4 linked regions of the Tribolium castaneum genome follow. The protein of the gene in region 2 purifies or fractionates together with the protein of the main gene of each other region. This does not show direct contact. Links are inferred from orthologs where the notes say so. Each region holds a gene or a part of one and is shown on either strand. Other genes may lie near its edges.

Region 1 (4,190 bases), on a different chromosome or scaffold from region 2:
TTTAAATAATTTTTGAGATTATGCTTTGATTTTTCGAAATTCTTCTCTAGATTCTATTACATACTCCCCTTTAGTTTTTTTCTAGATTTTCCTATAAATATTCCTTTTAAAAATGTCTTCAAATATTGCTCTAGAATATTCGTTTTGGTGTCTTGATTTTTCTCTAGATTTCTGTTTCGAATTATTTTCTATACTTATCCCTAAATTCTTCTTTCTAATTTCTTCTCCAGATTTTCTTTTAGATTCTTCTCCGTGTAGATTTTTCACTATATATTCTTTCTTGAAATTATTTACTACACTATTCTCTCAATTCTGATTATTTTTTAATTTTCTCTCTTGATTTTTGTGTACATTCTTTTGTAAGTAATTGTTTTCTAAATTGTTTTTGGATTCTTCTCCAAATTTTCTGGAGGCTGTATATAAGTATTTTATTAAATTCTTTTCTGATAATGATTCGATTTTTTCTCTTAGTTCCTCCTAATTATTAGTATTATTATTAGATTTCGCAATCTTTTAAAAAAGTAGTATTTAAAACAAACAAAATAATATAAAAAAAACTCGAATTTTTGAATTTTATTTTTGAAAAAAGTCAGTCGCCAAACTTTATATATAAACCGTTCCACGTTGTTAAAATAACATCACACCTCATTTTAATTCCAAGAACAATCATCGATGAATACAAAACAATTTAAAAATAAATTTCTTTGTCAAAATTCGCCAAACAATTTATCGTACATTGAACAGTTGTAACATCCTTATCGTAACTAACTGCTAAAGCAATAAATACGATTGTGTCACATATTCGTATAATTATCGCGACAAAATTGCAAAAAACAATTTCAGCGAGTATTTGGCCGCCAGATGTTGCCGCCTGTGCACATGTCGTGCACTTTTCAACCTCATACAGGGTGTTTGAACGCACTTATCTAATCCAAATTGTGCAACAACAACACCAAACCGCGACAAGTCTTTATTTGGCAGCACCTCAAGCACTCAATTAATTAGCGGCTGAATTTGTCTCATTAGACACAGCCCGCAAATTGTGTAATTACTCCAACCCACATTATTACATCACACAGCCAGTTTCCTCAAAATAACGCCCCAAAGGCCGGGAAAACAATTACGATTTCATCGAATTTCGCTCGATGAGTCACATCAGCTGGGCCGCGGAAGCCAAGAAAACAAATTCACGAATTAACGAGAGGATAAATTGGACTTTTAAGGTCAACACTGACTCATAGGCCAATGTAAAAGGACAGTTTACGGCCAAAAATTTGCCATTAAAAGATTAATTAATCCAATCGCGCAAATTGACTCGGAACGACCGGAAGAAGAGCCCCGAAGGGTAATAACAAGAAAACGAAAATAAATAAAGCTAAAAATAACCATTTGTATGCATTTTGACACCCACACCATTTTTCAACTGATAAGCGCGCTAAAAATAGCACTTACCCCAAATGTCGAGATAAAGTCGCTCGTCGTGGCCTAATCGTCGCCGAAAACACACAATTTTCATTAAATTCGCGTTTTTTCTGTAATGTTTTATTAATTTCTTGGTTATGACAATGTCGCGGCTGTCACTGGCGCGGTGGCGTCGCTAGAGGGCGCCGCGGCGCGGGCGGGAAATTCAAACAACAGTTGGGTCAAACTTTTTATTAACATATATCCGTTTGACATTCACTATCTATTGAAAAAGCATGATATCTTTCAAACATATTTAGATATCTGGAAAATAAACGGTTCTGTTAAATTTACTTAATTGTCTAAAGTTAATTCCAACTAATGCAATTGAAAACAAATATTTTGCATTAGCCCAATTAATGAACCAGCATCGGCCGCTCAATTGGCAAACTCACGATAACGAATTTCGGATACGTCACAATAAAATCAAAGCGGTGGATGCGAGTCGTGCAATTTCCATAACAAATCCAATAAATTACTAATTTAATATACAAAAATAATTAATTGAATTACACATAATTAAAAAGCTACAACCAACAATCAAGAGTTGTTACAAATAACAAATTTCAACATCTAACTTCTCTCTTTCATATATAAAAACAATAAAATAAGTTGTACACCTTTTTTACAGTTCTTGACGCCTATCTAAAAACATAAAAAGTAAAAATATATGGATTAGTAGATTGATCAGTTGGAGTCGACAAAGTGCTTCTCCAACTGCATTTTCTTATCGGGTGTTAGATTCTCGAAGCGGTTGCAATGCTTGGTGAAAATCTGAATCGGAACGGGCTCGATAGGTGTCGCCACTTTACTGACCACTCCTGTCAGGTCGGCCCAGCTCACTAGAAAATTGGACCAGTCGTTCTGTTGTTTCTCGCTCGCTGTCTCGGACGAAATCAGGTATTCGGTTCGTATCAACATCGTCACCAGTGCAGAGACACCAAACTGGAAAAAAAACAATTACACAACACGCCCACTTGTGGCTACAAATATGGAGGCACAAAAATCGCAATACCACGCAAATGGTGTGTCAAACATTAAAGGAACACTGACAATTATCACTTCCTACTTTTCGCACACTTGATCATTTTTACATAACGATATATTCAGTAATCACTCTTTAATTGAAAGTAGTTTTTTTAATTAAAAATGACTTTCTAATTTAAACAGCAAAGTTTAAAACTTAACAAGATATAAAACAGCGGCAAGGTGTTTAGTCTGCGGTCGGCCCTATGTAAGAACTGATACTTCGACAAAAAATTTCAGATTTTTGCACGATTTACGAACATAATTTCCCTTAAAAAACACTTCACACTTTCAAAAAATGTAAAAGTCTGGAAAAAAAATTTGTTTAGTCTGCGGTCCGCCACATTGAAAAACCTAGTTTTGAGGTAAAAACAAGCGAAAAAACGTGGCTTACTTTATTCAAGAGGACGAAATAAAGCGGCGCTTTGCCTTGGTGACTCAACGGCGTGCTTCTGCTGTTCTCCTGCCTGATGACCTCAACCAATCCCGTCACAATTTCCAAGATATCACCCATCGTACTAGTCTGTATGTACCTCTTGAAAAACGGATGCAACTTGGGCAAAATGTGATCGCCTGCCGTATCTCTCCTCCCAACAATGGCAATACTCAACAAAATCCGCGTCCAAATCTCCAACAACTGGGCGGAAAAACCGTCCATAGTCAAATGTGGCAAAAGCCTCAACAGCAACATTTTCCCTTTTCTTATGTTCAAAAAACTGGCAAATTTGTCTTCCTGCAGCAAACCGTTGACGATTTTCACGATATAATCGTGCGGATTTTCGACAACTGGTTCGCTGTCTTGCTTTAAAAGTTTCAAAACTTCTTGTTTTTGTTCGGGTGTTGGGGCTAAATCTAGCTCACGTAAACGTTGTTTTTGTTTGATTTCGTGCAGTTTTTCCATGTTGCTGATTGCGAGAGGGTTACGTAGGTCTTCGGCTTTGAGGAGGAGCGTGAAGAGAGCTTCGAGTTCAAGGAGGAGTTGCTTGGTTTTACGCGTGTCTCGGACCACGACGGGGCTGTCGGAGTCCTTGTCGGGGGTTACTATGTCCATGTCGATGATTTTTCGAGGGGCAGTGACCGACCCACACTAAAATAATCATGAGATTTTAAACCGTTTTACTGTTTTTTCGATATACTACAAAATAAAAACAATTACGCAAGGTTTTCTTTAAATTTTCTGCCGAAATCTTCTTTAGATTACCAGTTTATTAAAAATGTGGCTGATTTATGTTTAAAATATTAATTTTCTTACCTAACTCAATTATTAATATTATATTATTGTTTCTTTTCTTTTGTTTGTTTTAAAATTCTTCTTTCAATTTTACTTAAATCCTAGTTTCTTCTCTAAATACGTATTTTTTTATCATTTTATTTATTATTTCTTATTATTAAATGCTCCTATAGATTTTTTTCAAGATTCTTTTCCACGTTTTTTTTTATAAACTGTTCGCCTTTTTCTTTTTTTTATTTTTTATCTGTATTATTTCTTTAAAGTGAAGAGTAATTTGAAGAAATCCGGGCAATTATTCGAGATATTTATTTTAAATCGAGGTATCGGTAAAATCTTCGTTAAAATTTTCTTAAAATTATTTTGTTTCTTTTTTTTAAATTCTTCTCTGGATTCCATTTAGACTCACCTCTAAATTTCTATTTTAATTCTTCTCTAGACTTTCGTCTAAATCCTCTTTAAATTCTTAACAGAT
Region 2 (5,805 bases):
TTCGCGGAGATTCGGATGGTAAGTAACGAATTTCATGGCGTTGTAAAATAGTGACTGTAGAATTTTGCAGCTTTAAATGCACACGGGTAACAACTTATGCGATTTAAAGCTTAGGCCCCAAATGTAGAATCACTGTGATAAGTTACGTAGTAGTGCAGAATCTCTTAAATAAATCAGTATATCACCCTTTTTTAGTATAAAAAAGTCTTCAACAGAAATTTAATTCTTCGGAAAGTACGTTGTTTAATATTTACAGTTATCAGTGATATTTCGTAACACACCGCGTTACTTGGCGTTGTCTTCTGGAGTATCTTCGTCGTCTATTAACTTGGCCACGTACAACTTGGGATCGATCACTTTCGGGATCGGCTTGATCTCCGTTCCCAACTCTTGTTCAATGCGATGAAGCGCGAATCGATCATCGTAAGTAATCAAGTTGATGGCAATGCCCAAGTGCCCAAATCTTCCAGATCTACCGATACGGTGCAGATACGTCTCTGCCATTTTCGGGAAGTCGAAATTGATGACGACGTTGACGGCTTGCACATCGATACCTCTTGTAAACAGATCAGAACAGACTAGATTTCGGCAGAGACCAGCTCGAAAATCATGGAATACTCTGTTGCGATGCGCTTGAGCCATCTTGGCGTGAATGTAGTAGCAGCAATAACCAAGTTCGGTGATTTTCTTCGCCAACAATTCGACACGTTGCGTGGAATTGCAGAATATTATGCTTTGGTTTATTTGTAACTAGAAAAAAACTGTCAGAAAAAATAAACCAAAATACCAAGAGCCCAACCTTTGAAAACAGAGTATTTAAACAGTGTACTTTCTGACGTTCTTGAACGAACGCATAGTATTGCGTGACACCTTTAAGAGTGAGCTCCTCCATGAGATTGATCTCGTACGGATCTCGGAGATGTTTTCGCATAAACTGCTCAACTGTGAGAGGAAACGTGGCGGAGAACAACAGTATTTGTCTCTCTTGCGGTAAGTTCTTTATCACAGTGTCGAGCATCCCCTTGAAGTCTTGTGAGAGAAGCTTGTCGGCTTCGTCTAAAACTAGAATCTTGCACTGGTCCATTACGGCGACACCCTTTTCCATCAGATCGAGGATGCGGCCAGGCGTTGCTATAATAACTTGTACTTTCTGGTAGATGCGCATTATGTCATCTCTTAAATTTGTTCCACCGGTCGTTACCATCACGCGCACGTCCAAGTGCTTAGCGAGCTCAATGCAAATTTGTGACGTTTGAAGCGCGAGCTCTCGTGTAGGCACTATGATCAGTGCTTGAATGCAGTCTTTCTTGGGATCGATCTGTTCCAACACGGGAATACTGTACGCACCGGTTTTACCTGAAGACCAAAGCATTCAATAATTGACAGCCAATTTTTAGATTATGTCTGTAAAAGTTTGGCCCTCTTCTTTGTCTTTTTTTATTATAAAAATATTGATTTGTAACTAATTTCCAGTTTTTGGTATATCTGATATGATATATGTATAATGATAAATGCAATAAACAGTATTACATCCAAAAAAGATAAGCAAACAAACACAAGTGAGCTAGAGAGGTAATGTATTTCGAGTACATAACGAATACAAGTAAACAAGGTCACCCAATTTACAATAGGCAGTGAACAAATAACGATGATTTTAACATTTCTGGTGTTTGTCTGTGTCTCGGTTCGAACTACCGCTTATGTAGTGAAAGAAAATATAAAAAAAAACACAAATTAATTTTTTACATCGCGTGTTTTTTAGAATAGGACAGTTTAATAATAACACGTATTTTTTGACATCACAAGTAAATTAGTAAATTAAGAAAGTACAATCAGAATTACAAAAAAGAGAACGTTTTATTATTGACTTGATTGTTAAAAAAATTTTGTACAAAAAAGCTCAATTCTGCGAACTAAATTACCAAATAAAGTAGCTTGACTGATTTATAGCGCCCACTTATTCGAGCTGGTATTTCATAAGCGCAAATTACTGTATGTGATTTTTTGCGTCATATTCAAAAATAAATATGACTATTAGCAAAAATCAAGCCATTAGTTTTGCATATTTGTCCCCCCATCCAATTATTGAGTAACAGAACAGGCTTACTAAATATGCACTAAACATTGAGTAAAAAACATACCTGTGCCATTTTTTGCCCTTGCAAGAATATCCTTGCCAGATAACGCAATTGGAATAGAAGCTTCTTGGATAGGAGACGGTTTCTCCCACCCTTTTTCAAAAATACCCATTAATAATTCTCTCTTCAAGCAGAATTCTTCAAATTCATTTCCCCTGGTATCAGTCACATCCTAGTAACAAATACTTGATAAAATAACGGTAACACCTTTTTTGCACGAATGGTGAAAGAAATGCATGAAATCAGGCAAGACGTTATCATTTATAAGAAAAATGAAGGGGAATCCATAGTGTCATCATGTTAATAATGGAAAGCTTTGAATATTATTCCCGGTTTAGACATGCAAGTGACCCAAAGCCTTCCAAGTGACCGTGAACGTACAAAGCAGTGAGTTTTAACTTACACTGGTCTGTATTCTCCTATCCTTGGGTGGAATCTTCAGTTTGGCTTTCCATCCCATGTCATCCATTTTGGTGTCAATATCACTGCAAGGAAGCGGTTCGTCACCGCACATTCTTAATGATAAGCAAACAACTTACACTTTGCCTGACAAAGCCATCACATGGTTCGAATTCAATGTGTCCGTCATCATAATTGTAGAAAATACTATTGCAAGTGTATTAAAAAATAGGGTTTATAAAACCCAAATCTTCTTCCTCTACAATGTGTAGGATAAGTACAGTTCCTAAGATCCCTCACAGGAACGATAATAATCTGCAAAATCCCAGTTTAAACATCAATGACGCAGAAAATTTAAGGTCAATACGGAATAGATATAACCACAAAAATAGAACATCCCGTAATTGTTGCAGTGTCAATAATAGCCAGGTCATGAACATTCACTGGCGATACGGAAATAAAACCCTCAAAAACGGCCAAAAGTTCGACGATTGCAACAAATAAACAGGATTCAGATTTCTAATTAAAATGGCTACTGATTCTTGTGTACAGTGCACCGTCGACTACACATAAATTATTGCACAACGACGCAAATTTACCTGATTCTGGACAAAGAATTTAAGGAATACCGTCGAGACACCCTGGGAAATACTCAGACATTGCTCATAATGTGTGATTTTTGCATCAAATCGCTCTTTTCGAATAACTTTTACCACTGATATGGACGCTTTACTCACCAAAAGGAAAATGACTTTCAGCAATTAACAATGGCCGCGAATCTGCAATGCCAGGATGCTCCGCTAACCAAAGGACAACCCGTGAGATGGCGCGAGAAACAATCGGAAAAAATCAAAGAATTTTTGAAATTTTTGGCCAAAAAATACAATTTTTTTATGGCAGTGATAACAAAGCGCCCCTGATAGGGTCCGTCTCCTTCAACCATAATAAAATTAAGTAACCACTCATGTAAAAAGCTCACAAAAAAGCGTTCAAATTGCGCGCACCACCTTGTTCTCTTCTCACCACCCACAGCACCACCTTGTTCTCTGGCACCACCCACAGAATAACAGGTTTTACAGAAACGCATCTGTCCTTGTCCCGATAGAGCGAAAGTGTCACTAGCACATCTATTGTTGCCAGCGCGTACTAAGCGTTATCGGCGGGCGATTTGAATTGCCCGTAGTTACTTTTCTTTTAAAGTTTGATTGCATTTTTCGTATTGTTTGTAAATATTCACAACAATAGTTGCTAATAACACTTTCTGATGTTAGACAACTATTGTTGCTGAATATTTACAAAGAATACGAAAAATAAAATATGAGAATAAATAAAGACAATAAACTTGTAATAAAAATTTATTATCACTAGTCAATATACACGATACGATAACTATAAACTAATGATTGATCCATCAAATTATTTATATTCCCACAATAAAAAAGTTCAAAAAAGCACACACACGAAAAAAACCACAAAACAGTACTAATTTCACATAAAACAAAGCCGAAGGCGAACACCAAACAAACCAAGCACAAAATGGCGATTTACACAATGGCAACTGTCACAGGTCCACTGTTAATTTCTGCCGATATTATAGGTAGCTTCGCTAAAATTGACTATACGTGTGTGCGACATCTGCGATAGCAAGCCGAACTACAGTCGATTTTGAATTTGGCGCCTATACTTGGCTTGGTGCATTTAGGTTTCACCACCCTGGCACCACCTTTTTCATCCATGATTTGACAGCTATTTAACCTACAATTTGTCGGTCATTTTAATAACAAATAAACAGAATTTTAGCAAAAAATTGAGATTTCGGTAATAACTGTATTGCCGCATTTTTGGAGAGTTACATTTTGCAATAATTTTCAGTATACGTCATGACTGCAAGCAAGGAGGTTTTTGTCGATTTAGAGGAAAAATTCAATAAGGTCCTTAAGTTACTCGAGGACAGTAAATACGACCCTGAAAATCAGCCTTTCGTGTCGAAATATGCGGCCAGCGAGACCCTAGTCAGCATGAAAGCGAGTCTAGAAAATGTGATAGAAACTCAGCCAGACAATGACAAGATAAAACTAACAGGTGGTGCCACATTGTTGTAAATTTGCCTGAAGGTGATAATTTTAGCAATGTTGGGAAGTGTGTACCTGTATCTTGGTATGACTTCAATTGCCACTGAGGAATTATCGACTGGGGAGGGCTATTTGGCAAAGTGTGAAGACCTGATAAAGGATTGCACAGAGGAGCCCCAAGTGGTTATGGTAACATTGAATATGTACAACCAGTTTGGGATTTTGTGGTCGCAAAGAGAGCCAGAAAAGTCTAAAACTTACCTCGAAAAGGCTGAACGGTTGTACGCGACTTACAAGAAATCGAACGTACCACCAGTTGACATAAAAGACTTGTTTAACCCAAACTTCGAACTAAACGACATTGAAACGGCTTGGATTAACTTTGAGAAAGTTTACACTTTGACAGTGTACTACTTGGCCCAAATATACGGGGCGTTGAAAGACGCATTAAAAAGTGCAGTTTACTGCCACAACACTTTACAAAGACAGTTGGATAGTGGTGACTATGAGTCCATAGACTGGGCTTTGAACGCCGCTACACTGTCCCAGTTTCTCATGGAACAGAACGGTTTCAAACAAGCGAGACATCACTTGGCTGCCAGCTCGCTCATTTTGGACGAGTATGCGAAAACCCTGGACGCTATCACCGAAAGAAATGAGGCTTTTGACGCCAAGATGGAAGTTTTCAAGCACCGGTCGGCCGATATTGCGCGATGTTGGGCCAAATACGGCTTACTTCTCCTATCCAAGTCTAAGGAACGACTGCTGAATCACACCGACGACATTGACAAAAACTGCACGCTTTCGTCCGATCTCACAACTCTGACTCTTGACTCAGACGCTAGTGTGACGAGCGCGGATTTGCAAAATCTACAATTCACATCGCTAGACCTCGCCCGTTACGAAAACCAAATCACTTACAAGTTCATTCTTACAATTCAGGACGCGCGTCACGTGTTCCTAAACATCCAAAACTGGCTGCAAAAAGCCGAGGCTTACTATACTCTAGAAACGTTAGCGTCTGATCATTTAGAAATAGTGCAAGATAAGAGCCAAATGTACCTAAACTTGCTATTTTTCGAAGATAATCCCGAAAATCAATCAAAGTTGCATAAGCGTAGAATTGACTTGTTAGAAAATATTATCAAAAATGTAAACCCGCAGTATTATCTCCAGTACTGTCGACAGATTTGGTA
Region 3 (5,086 bases), on a different chromosome or scaffold from region 2:
ACACTTAAAAAAGAAAACAGATTGCACTTTTCCGCTGATTTTTGCCTAAATTTTGAAAAACAAATGCGTTGCTGACTGAATAAAAAATAAAAACAATATGTTATATTGAAAATAATTTAGCAATGGTTTGGTACAGTTTTAGCAAAATTTCACAAAGACATTATTGCAGCTTTAATTTTGCGAAAAGAGAGTTCAAAACATGATAAAAAATGTTGTATAGATAAATATAAAAAGAACTTTTTGGCGTATTTTTTACGACATACGAGAATTTCGAAAAAAAATGTGATTTACTAAGTAAAATAGTCTCGTAAAAATGACGCTTCTCCGGTCTTTTTTGGTAAACTTTCGGCTAATTTGTGCCAGGTATAATAACAGTGTTTATCATGGAGAAAACTATCTAACAACTTAAAAATTTTGTAAATTTATTTATCTTTAGATCTATAGCTCCTTTTAAAAAAAAGCAAAGATCACACATTCACTAATAAATCTGGTCAACTTTCAAGTTATTTTTCATGAAATAAGTGAGATTACAGTTGAAAACGAACTAAAGCGAATAAAACATGCAAAAATTTGCAAACTTATATATCTTTGACGAATTATTTTTTTAACCGGTACGGGAAAATCCCACAAAACAATTTTTTAGCTAAAAGTGTAGATAAATACCTGAATGATCAAAAAGGTCATAAATAATGCCATTTTCGAGCTAAACTAGTAAATTTTTAGCTTATTTTTAATAAAATCTGTTAAGACACATGCTAAAACTATCGAATAAGACAAAAATTATGCCATTTTCGACTGAATTACGTAATTTTTCGGTATGATTTTAAAAAAATCTCGCATAAAAACATTAAAAAAAAGACAAAATTTCTACCGATTGAATAAAATGGTTTATTTTGCATAAAATAACAAAGTTTCAAGTTGAAAAACGAATTAAATCCAGCAAAATATGTTAAAATTATGTAATTAAAGAAGTAATTTAGCGATTTTTTTAACCCAGTCCGACAAAATCTCACAAAGAAACCAAGTTTCTGGCTCAAAAATGTGCTTAAACAATTACGAAAGGCAAAAACAACGCAACTTACAAGCCACTTTTGTACATTTTCAGTTCATTTTTGATTCACTCTTTCGTAATACCATGCTATCATTTGAATTTATACTTAGAGTAGGCGATTTTGTGTCTTTATGATTGAAAAACCAGCACAAACTGAGAGAAAAAATATATTCTAAATTAATATTACCGTTCGAAACCTTATTATTTGACCCTTAAGCTTGATTAATTAACACAATCGGCGTTTCCATTCAAGTAAAAAACTGATAAAGCTTATTGTAATTATAAATTCAAATAATCGATCGATAAAAGTTTTTGACAAAGTCAGATGCAAAACGCTAAAAATAAAGTTCTTTTCGAGTTTTTTCGACTATATTTAGTAATTTTTCGGAACGGTTTAATCAAAATCGTACGAAGGCTTGAGTTTACAGTTGAGTAATGTGCTCATAGACAAGACAAAAATAATACAATTTTTAAAATTGATTTATTTTTAAGAAATTTTACGTTGATATGCTCACAAAAAATCCATAATATGTTATTTAACTTTTAATTCAATAACGTTTCCAAAAGATCAAAAAAGTCAAATAAACAATACAATAAATTAAGTCCATTTTCAACGCAAATTGAGTCATTGTTCAACTCATTTTTGACAAAATCTCTCATAATAGTTGATTTTTCAGCTAATAAAAAAAAACGTGCTAAAACACGAAGAGGAATAACATTTATAAGCTCTGTGTAACAAAAACCCCCAAGTTTTATACTCAAACACGTACCCAATGCGCAAAAAAGCAAAAATAAATTGGACAACTTGATTTTAATTTTTTAAAATCACTAATAAAATTTTCTGACAACAGTTTGTGCCATTAAAAAGAACACAGACACCTTCAACCAAAAATAGAATGAGGTATAAAAATGTGTTCAAGAGACAAATTTAACACACTATAACAATTTAAGTTACTATTCACGATATTCGTTTACAAAATAAAATTTTTACGGCACTCTTGTCCACACTTTTGTTTAGTCACACAATTGAAATTTTTTGTTCAGATCAAATTTTTAGAACTAACTTTAAAAAACAATGTAACTCGCTAAAAAATAAGCAACAAAACACAACACATATTCCCCGAAAAAGTCCAAAATAAAACTAAATAATTCCTACAACAACTTCCTAACTCCTTGCAATAAAAAGCACGCATAAGCGACAACTTTGGCAGCAAATCAAGCAAGAAGCCGTCAAAAATTACGTTACCGTGATCGCTTGGTCGAGGCGGTTCAACTGCAGGAGATAGGACTTGTGGTTGTTCCGTACCCGGTATAATTAAATCATTTGGTTTATTACCAGCGAGACCTCTGGGATCTCTCGACATACCCATACCCGGTACCATGCCACTCGACAGACCTGCCATTGAACCCATCGCTCCATAACCCGACGCAAATTGTCCCATTTGGGGCCCCAGGGGGTGCCCCATCATCGGATGGTTCTGGAACTGCTGCTGTCCCAATGTTGGAGGAACCGACAGCTGCATAATCGCCGGATCGTTAAGAGGTTGAGCAACATTATTCACAACTCGAATATCTTTGATGTCAGAGCCGCGGAATAAAATGTAGTCATAGACTTGGTTCTGGGCAGGGACGGGGTAAGGCGTCTCCCTGTCTTCAGTACCAAATGAGCGAACTGGAAGAAAATGCGCAAAAGTTAATAACAATAATAATAATAACACGTTTTTATTGAATTGTAAATACAACTCGAGAGCCGAAGTCTAGCAATTGCTATTCCAACTTAACCCGCTTATCATCTAAGAAGTACATAAACAAAAAAATAAATAAATAAACGAATAATCGAAATGAAATTTACAAAAATTGCACATATTAAAAAAAAATAAAACAAGAAGAAAACAACAAAAAGCAATAAGAATTTTGGAAAAAACCTAGAGATTGGAAAAATATGCTTTTATTTTATTGCGAAAATTGTTCACCGAAAGTTTTTCTTTAAACAAATGATAACGTTATTGTATTATAATGTACGAGATCAACAATATTACGCACAGAAACTTGATAGCAACTTTTTCTTGAATGAAATAGTGGTGAAGCTGTAACAAACATTTTATAGATAAACAGTGACAAAAAATAATTATAAAATTTGGTCTACCATCAACCAACCAAATTCTTTTTTTTTTAGATGCATGGTCAAATTTTCTTAACTTATAAATAAAACGAGCACACGAATTTTATATTTTTTTTAGTTGATATTTGAAACGATAATTCAATAATAAGACTATAGTTAAGGTCAGAAAGCACCAATAATTCGCAGTTTTTTTCGAAATTTAAAACGCAAAATATTGCAGTTGGAATATAACATATTTAATACAATGTAAGATCTTATTACAATATTTCAATAAAATTCAATATTCTCTAAATAGAAATTCCGAATGTTATAGTTCCAAGATTTTTAAAATTATTGGCGACATCTATTTGTATAATTTTGAGATTGATTTTTGAGTTTATTTTTGTGTTTCTTATGGAAATACAAATTGACAAACATTTGCTCGCATAAATTCAAGTCAATGCTTTTAGAAAATAAAAAACTTCATTTAAACCTTTATTAATAAAATCGTGAGCCGTTCTACATTATTAGGATAAAAATGATAATAAAACTGCGTATTATCTGCAAAGAGATGGCTATTTACATAATTTACGGATTCTAATATACTTATGATGTAAATAAATAATAGAAGCGGTCCTAAAATTGAGCCTTGTGGAACACCGGATGTAATATTACCTGCTCTTGATTGTGAGATGCCTATAGTAACAATTTGCTTTCTATTTATCAGATATGAAAAAAAAATTGATGAAATTTCGTCGAAACCGTAAAATGATAATTTTCCACATAAAAGGTGTCAAACGTTTTGGAAAAATCCAACAATAATGTCACAATAGTCGCCTCATCTTTATCTAAACCTTTAAAACAATCATCAAGAATTTTTACCAGGGCTGTAATTTTTTGATATCTTGATAACATTGTAAAGGGTCTCAAATCAGAGCATGCATTGGAATTTTTAATTTTTGGTAGAGAACGCACTAAAGCGGTTTTCCACATTTCAGGATAATATCCAACCTCAATGCTACAGTTAACAATATGAGCAATAAATTTCGTCAAAATAGGTGAAAATCATTTCAACATACAGGGTATTAGCGAAATAAATGCATTCCTTTCAAAAGCGTGTTCTACAAGTGATTTTACGGAATGTCTTTCTTAGAAAATTTTTCGAAAAAGAACTCCCCTGCAGAGTTATTCGCATCAAAAGTTAGCCTAAAAAAATAGTTTTAGCTTTTTTTCTCAAAAACGGCTACACCCTTAGGTTCCAAATTTGGTGGATGGTTTAGTACCAACAACTGTTTTTTAGTGGTGAATTGTTTTTATTAGAAGACAGTGGGTAATAAAAAATAATAATAATGAGTATTTTTCTCTCGTTCATTTCGCAAGGATGTTACTAAGATTTTTTGTTATCCTTGATGTGTACTGTCACAGGTTAAAAGGAATGCATTTATTTCGCTAACACCCTGTATTTGCTGAAGATCAACACCAAAAGCATTAGATTTTAAATTATCATTTATCTGTTGTATTTCATCAATACAAGCAAGTACAAGACAAAAACAACTATTAACATTTAATTTTTTGCTACTAACAAGAATGTGGAATTAGTACAATTATCTGACGGACTAAATACTAACAACAAAATTATTATTATTAGCATCATCCACATTGAAGTTTGATAAAACTATGTCGTTTCTTTTTCCTGATTTAATGTTTAAATTACGTAAAACTAACCATATTTCTTTTTTATCGTATTGTTTACTTTTAGTAGTGAAATATGCTTTCTTTTCTTGCCTTATTGAATTTACAGTCAGATTGCGTAAATGTTTATAAGCAATCCAATCGTTAGTATTGTTTTTTTTTGTACTTTGTCATTGCCGAATTACGCTCATTTATCATTTTTTCACATTTTTTCAGTCACAGGTGTAAACTAAGGTATTACA
Region 4 (5,630 bases), on a different chromosome or scaffold from region 2:
AACGATGAAAATAAGAAAATAGAGTAAATTGTTCATGAATAGAATTCTTAACTGTTTCAATATAAATTTTAAACAGTCTAATAAATCAATTGATTTATTAAAAAAAAAAATCGCTATATTTATACAACGAAGCTCAGTTTTTACCTACCAAGAGATTTATAATTGTCGAAAAAAGTCCATTTCTTCAATGACTGAAAAACTGGCCTTTTCTACTCTTGTTTTCAAAAATTGAGCTCACTTTTGCAAATATAAATGCTATGATGGCAAATAGTGGCCACAATTTTAAGCACAACAGAAAATAAATTTAAATTCCATCAAAGCATTGTAAATAATTAGTCTGTCAATCGGCGATTACCAATCTGGACACTTTAAATATTGAACATTCGTTAAATAACTATTAGATAAGTGTTGTAGCATAGAAATACAGGGGACCATAAAACAACTTAATGGTATATGGTAAAAAAAATGCTTATACAGATAAAGAGATAATTATAGTTAGCAAAAAATCCATGTACCACCCTGTGTATTAAAATTTATAATGAATTTTTTAAGTATGTAAATGATATGTGGCAACGTTGTCTAACAATCCTGATAGCAATAGAATATTAAGAATAAAAGTGAATTTATTTTTGGAACCTTGGTTCAGATGTCCTTGGAAATAAGCAATGAACAATAATAAATTATCGAGATCACCACACACAGTGTTGCTGCATCTACAAATTTTAATTTTGTGATAAAATTTACTTTTTTTATCAAAAATCTGTAAGATTAATACTAAATTTAAAAACAAAATTTGTTATTAAGTATGTCACGAAAAGGTGTTGGACCGTATGAATAAAATTGAGTAAATGCTTTTGCTTAAATTTTTGCGAGAAAATACTCTAAAATGTATGAATAAAAATTTCATTATTAGCTTTTAATACAACTAATAGCACCCTGTACGAGTATTTACTCTAACATCAAAGTTTTACTCATTTTTTTACCAAACAAAGTTAATAATATACAGTAAATGCTATTTTCATTAAAAATTTACTTCAAAATTGTTGATACTAATCAGTACGAGCATCACCTGTTTAAAGTAACATACCAAACTCTAAACGATGGAGGATGTTGTACAACTAAGAGTAAGAAAATTCATTACATAATAAAACTAAAGCACTGACTTCAAAGTAAAAGCTTATTCAAACTAATCAAATGTTTTTACTTTTTACTTCAAATATTTGCTTTTGCATTATAATCATACTTCAATTTTATTCATACGGCTTATTAACTATGAAATATGAAAACATTAACAAAAATGTGAACTCAATAAATAGACTTTACAATTTTTCTCAATGCTAATCAACGTATCACTGATTTGATGCACCAATTTTTGAGCGCCCTCTTCATGAGTTTTGCTAGAAATTGGGAAATAAGAGGTTTCAAAAAATGTTCCAATTTACAAGTCAAATTATGTGATATCAGGATAACAATAACGAACTTCCTACAAAAATTAATGAATCATTAATTTTAAAATATCCTTCAAATATTGTTATAAAGTACCAGTGCATTCCCGTGACGTCACAACTTTTTTTAATCAATTCGAATAATACAATTTTGTAATCTACGGCAACATAATTAATTTATCGACGAACGAAACACATTAAATTCGAGCAATAAATTTTACTACAACCATAAAAACTAATCTTACACAAAAGACTGACAAATTTTAATCAAAAAGAATTAAAACTAAACTGATACCCAAGTCAAAACCAACTTGTTTTTGTTTACATAAAAACAAAATTTTAAAAAACCTATTATCTAACGATAAATGTCAAAAAAGCAATAACAATAAGCAGGATGCTGTGATAAATATTATCACAGCCCCAAGAGATAATACAATAATATTAATATAATAAACTGTTCCCCAAAATCCAGTCCAATGCAATCATTTGATCAGCACCATTTTTATTGAAATTTTGGAGGTACAGTACTTTAGCACACCAATGACTCAAGCATCTCTTTAGAAAACCAGAGATGGATCTATGGAGCGTGCAAAATCAATCAATTTTACTTATCATGTGATTTGAATAAAATTGTCAAGAAACCTTGACAAATGCTTGCATACAAAATTGAACCGATAAGAAAAAATCGCAACAAAGCAATTTAACTGCATATTAATTTGTACATGTGATAAGATTTGAAAAACAAATTTTTCACTCACTTGGTGTACAAAAACATCCTCCTTGGTGTCGTTTCGGTTGATGAAGCCGTAACCGCTCTTCACATTGAACCATTTCACAGTCCCTGTTACTTTGCTAGCTGAAAAAAAACATAAATTAACAAAATGATTTTAGAGGAAATTTTTCAATTAATCAGACCATTTTACAGACAAGATTTTTCTTTTTTTGACGTCGTTAACTAGTAGGAGCGATAAAAAACATTTCTAGTAATTTCTTAAAAATAATTTCTTTTTTGACAAGTCAAAAAACTGGATAAGAGAGAAATTCGGAAAGCCCGAAAAGGTAGTCAGGCCAACTAGATAAGGCATAAAATGACACAAAAACTTGGTTTGATTTGACTGGTTTTGATTTTTTGTTGCAATTTCGCGATTTTTTATTCTCTCAAGCTCTCAGCCTTGAACCGGCCAATGCTTTCGGTTTTTTACCTCCGTTACGAGAAAATCGTGAGAATTATCTAAAAATAATCGTGACGCCGCCAAAAAAGTCAAAACGCCGGGCCGCTTCCACGTGACGCCTACATTTATAAATAAATTGCGTCCCGAATGGTCCCCAATTTGACAAAAAGCCCCTTTTCCTCCTCAATTAACCACTTTCGTTCCACTCGGAGGATAATAAGCGCGTCCTCACAATGGCGGCCTGCATCCCGAATAGCGCAAAGTGGGCTCCTCTCAAACAAATGACAACCGCGTCGGGAAAACTACAGTCAAAGCGGTGGAAAACTGTCAGACATTCGCGAAAAGCGCTTTTCACGGCCCCACTCAGCGGAAAACCGGCCATGTGCTCGGTGCAGAGAAGATGGACGCCGGGCCCACACAAAAACCCCGCAAACGCAATTTACTCACCGATCACTTCCTTCTGTTTGTTGACTTTCGGCGGTTCCGCTGTTGGTTGTTGTTGCTGCTGTTCAGCTTCAGCCATGATGGTAAAAGGGCCGGTTGGCTGATGTTAAACTCCTCTTTCCACGATGTTCTTCCTTCCTCCTTCCTGCCTTTCACAGTTGTTGAAGATCTTGTCGATGCTCAATTTTTTCAACATTAAATAAACTCGCTGAATCAATCACGGACACGCTCATTATCGATCCTCTCTTTCTCACACACATGCTCCCCGCATCACATATGTCGCAATTACGCAAAATTTCACCCAGCAATGCGCATGCCCCAAAGCGTCGCCTAGTGGCTAACAACCACGCTATTATTTTTCGTTGGTAGTGGCGCCACTAGAGGGCCGTTGCCAAGCAATTGAATACAGGACCGTAATCAGGAAAACAAAATCAAAGTTTAACAAAATATTTATTTAACCGTTTTAACCGCATTTTCCAAAAACGTAGACATGATCGGATAAACCGGGTCATAATTAACGGAATTTTTCTGCCTCACTAGATTTTCGTACTTTTGGAGGGCTCCCACGATCAAATCCAACCGATCCGATTCCGAAGGGTGCTCATCCAACCAGGCCGATAATTTCGGAAGTGACCACGCTGTGTTTTGGTGCGGACTCGCCAATTCACTTCCGGCAAATGAAAATAATAAAAGTAAAACGGTACTGTGAGGCACTGAGCTTTCAGAAGCTTGACTTGCGACGATTTCCTCTGGAGTTAGGGTGACAAGAGACGCCATGGATTTTAGTAAACGATAAGGACGCCCCAAATCGCTCAAATGGGGGCAAATCACCCTGAGGGCGCCTTCGAGATGGAGGTAGTCGGACTGGAGTCGCACGCGCCCCCCTTGTGATATGGGCCGGAGTAAGGAGGAGTGGCGGACCAGGAGCTCAATGCAACGGACGGCGATTTCGCTACATCTTTATTACATAATTAATTTAAAGAAATAGTTGTTTAAATAAAAGTTTGAGGTGTAGGGAAGTTCGCCCCAACTAAGAAGAACTGTAGATTAGAAGCCGAAATGAGATATAAAAATTTTCACTAGAAACATGTGATTTTCTTTTTTAATTTAAGTATTGACTCAGATTTTTCATAACGCGGGGAATGTTTAAAAATAACTAGAAAAATTTTAAGGAGAAAGTTGTAGAAAATTAAATTTCCTTTAAAATAGTCTTATTTCACAGCATTTTTGTATTCGCCTTTTGAAACGGAGTAAAATGTACCCTATTTCTTAGTAACAATCTGTCATACTTTTTGATATTTGTCAATTTTTTTAAGCAAACATCTATGGCAAACATTTATTTGCAAGGGTTCATTCAAAATAGCACAGCTCTTCAACTCTTTAGGATAAGTGTGACATTTGTTGACAATTTTGAAAGGCCTACTTGATTACGATGAAAATTACTAAGTAAAATCAGTTTTTTGTGATTATTTCAAAACTGTAAGAGATAGATATAGGATGTGTTAATAAAAGTCACCATGATCTCGATATTCTTTCGATTACCATTAAGAAAATAAGGTCGTTCCATTTGAAAAAACTGAGTTATAAACGTTTTTTAATAACCATTTTAAAAAAATCATACCAGCCTTGAATTTTGACAGTTGATAATTTTGAAAATGCCAGAAGACTTCAAACCATCGGTTATCAAATGTAAAAAAATATCAATTACCACAAAGGATTCAAGGGCTGTGATATTTTAGATAAACCTTTGCAAATAAAAATTTTAACAAAAAAAATAACATGGTATCTCAAAAACTATATAAAATAAGTACTAACAACTTGGGTAAATTTTCCTCAGTTTGAGAAGTTGAATTCAAAAATGCTATAAAATTGTGGTTACTATTTAAAATTTCAAAGTTGGCGCCAATTTCTCGTAGTCTGAGTAGCTCAATCATTTTGAAAATAATTTAGTTCAACTCACAATGGTCGATTTGGATCGTATACAAAATTTTAATGCTCTAGCTATATCAGAAGTTAATTTTTTTTAATAAGACATTAAAAGAATCACCCTATATAATTTTAAGAATTAATAAAACCATGATAACAGAAATCTTAATTTTTGTGAAGTAGTTTAACGAGTTTTAGTGTAAATCGGACGTTTTATTCCACGAGTGAAAACGAGTGGTTTGTCATCCACGAGGTGCGACATAATTTATGCATTATTTTTATCTATTACAATAGATAAATTAATGCTCTATCTGCTTTGTTTTCGTTGCTCTAAAAACTCTGTTACTACTAAAAATCCTCAAAGAAAGTTTTATAACTTTCATAACGCGCTAAAAATGAACGGAATTCCCTATCCCTCAAACTCAAAGTGGTTTGATACTTACTTTTCAAGCAATACTTCTTTATTGTTAAAACTTGATAAATAGGTGTGATAAACACGAGTGACAAACTGAGACAACTCTCGCATGTAGGGGCTACAAACCACTGAATTTTTATTTATCGGGACTTGAAGCTTGGCCCAATCTGTTTCAAGATGAATTGTTATGATTATCGTTTCAATTGTTGAGTTTATTGAGACTGAACA

The links.
Region 1: the proteins of me31B (region 2) and Patr-1 purify together in Drosophila melanogaster (affinity purification with western blotting; 5 studies listed by BioGRID). This does not show direct contact. The link is inferred for Tribolium castaneum from reciprocal best matches to the Drosophila melanogaster genes me31B and Patr-1.
Region 3: the proteins of me31B (region 2) and tral purify together in Drosophila melanogaster (affinity purification with western blotting; 6 studies listed by BioGRID, with this or other methods). This does not show direct contact. The link is inferred for Tribolium castaneum from reciprocal best matches to the Drosophila melanogaster genes me31B and tral.
Region 4: the proteins of me31B (region 2) and yps purify together in Drosophila melanogaster (affinity purification with western blotting; 3 studies listed by BioGRID, with this or other methods). This does not show direct contact. The link is inferred for Tribolium castaneum from reciprocal best matches to the Drosophila melanogaster genes me31B and yps.

What each region holds. Positions count from the first base shown.
Region 1 is NC_087401.1:15,389,352-15,393,541, reverse strand, and holds the end of Patr-1 (protein PAT1 homolog 1), read right to left. Parts: intron 3,575-4,190; coding exon 2,882-3,574; intron 2,407-2,881; coding exon 2,149-2,406; 3' UTR 1,639-2,148; downstream 1-1,638.
Region 2 is NC_087402.1:3,102,406-3,108,210, reverse strand, and holds the start of me31B (ATP-dependent RNA helicase me31b), read right to left. Parts: upstream 3,410-5,805; 5' UTR 3,275-3,409; exon of another isoform or gene 3,137-3,274; intron 2,853-3,136; 5' UTR 2,731-2,852; coding exon 2,678-2,730; intron 2,624-2,677; coding exon 2,542-2,623; intron 2,311-2,541; coding exon 2,142-2,310; intron 1,357-2,141; coding exon 800-1,356; intron 751-799; coding exon 286-750; 3' UTR 1-285. Other genes in the region: KIF-binding protein, read left to right, coding at 4,418-4,619, 4,665-5,805. UniProt on the Drosophila melanogaster protein: ATP-dependent RNA helicase which is a core component of a variety of ribonucleoprotein complexes (RNPs) that play critical roles in translational repression and mRNA decapping during embryogenesis, oogenesis, neurogenesis and neurotransmission.
Region 3 is NC_087394.1:10,182,125-10,187,210, reverse strand, and holds part of tral (protein LSM14 homolog B), read right to left. Parts: intron 2,724-5,086; coding exon 2,298-2,723; intron 1-2,297.
Region 4 is NC_087398.1:13,288,924-13,294,553, reverse strand, and holds the start of yps (Y-box factor homolog), read right to left. Parts: upstream 3,254-5,630; 5' UTR 3,141-3,253; coding exon 3,065-3,140; intron 2,302-3,064; coding exon 2,204-2,301; intron 2,037-2,203; exon of another isoform or gene 1,900-2,036; intron 1-1,899. Other genes in the region: fws (conserved oligomeric Golgi complex subunit 5), read right to left, coding at 3,512-4,019, 5,431-5,623.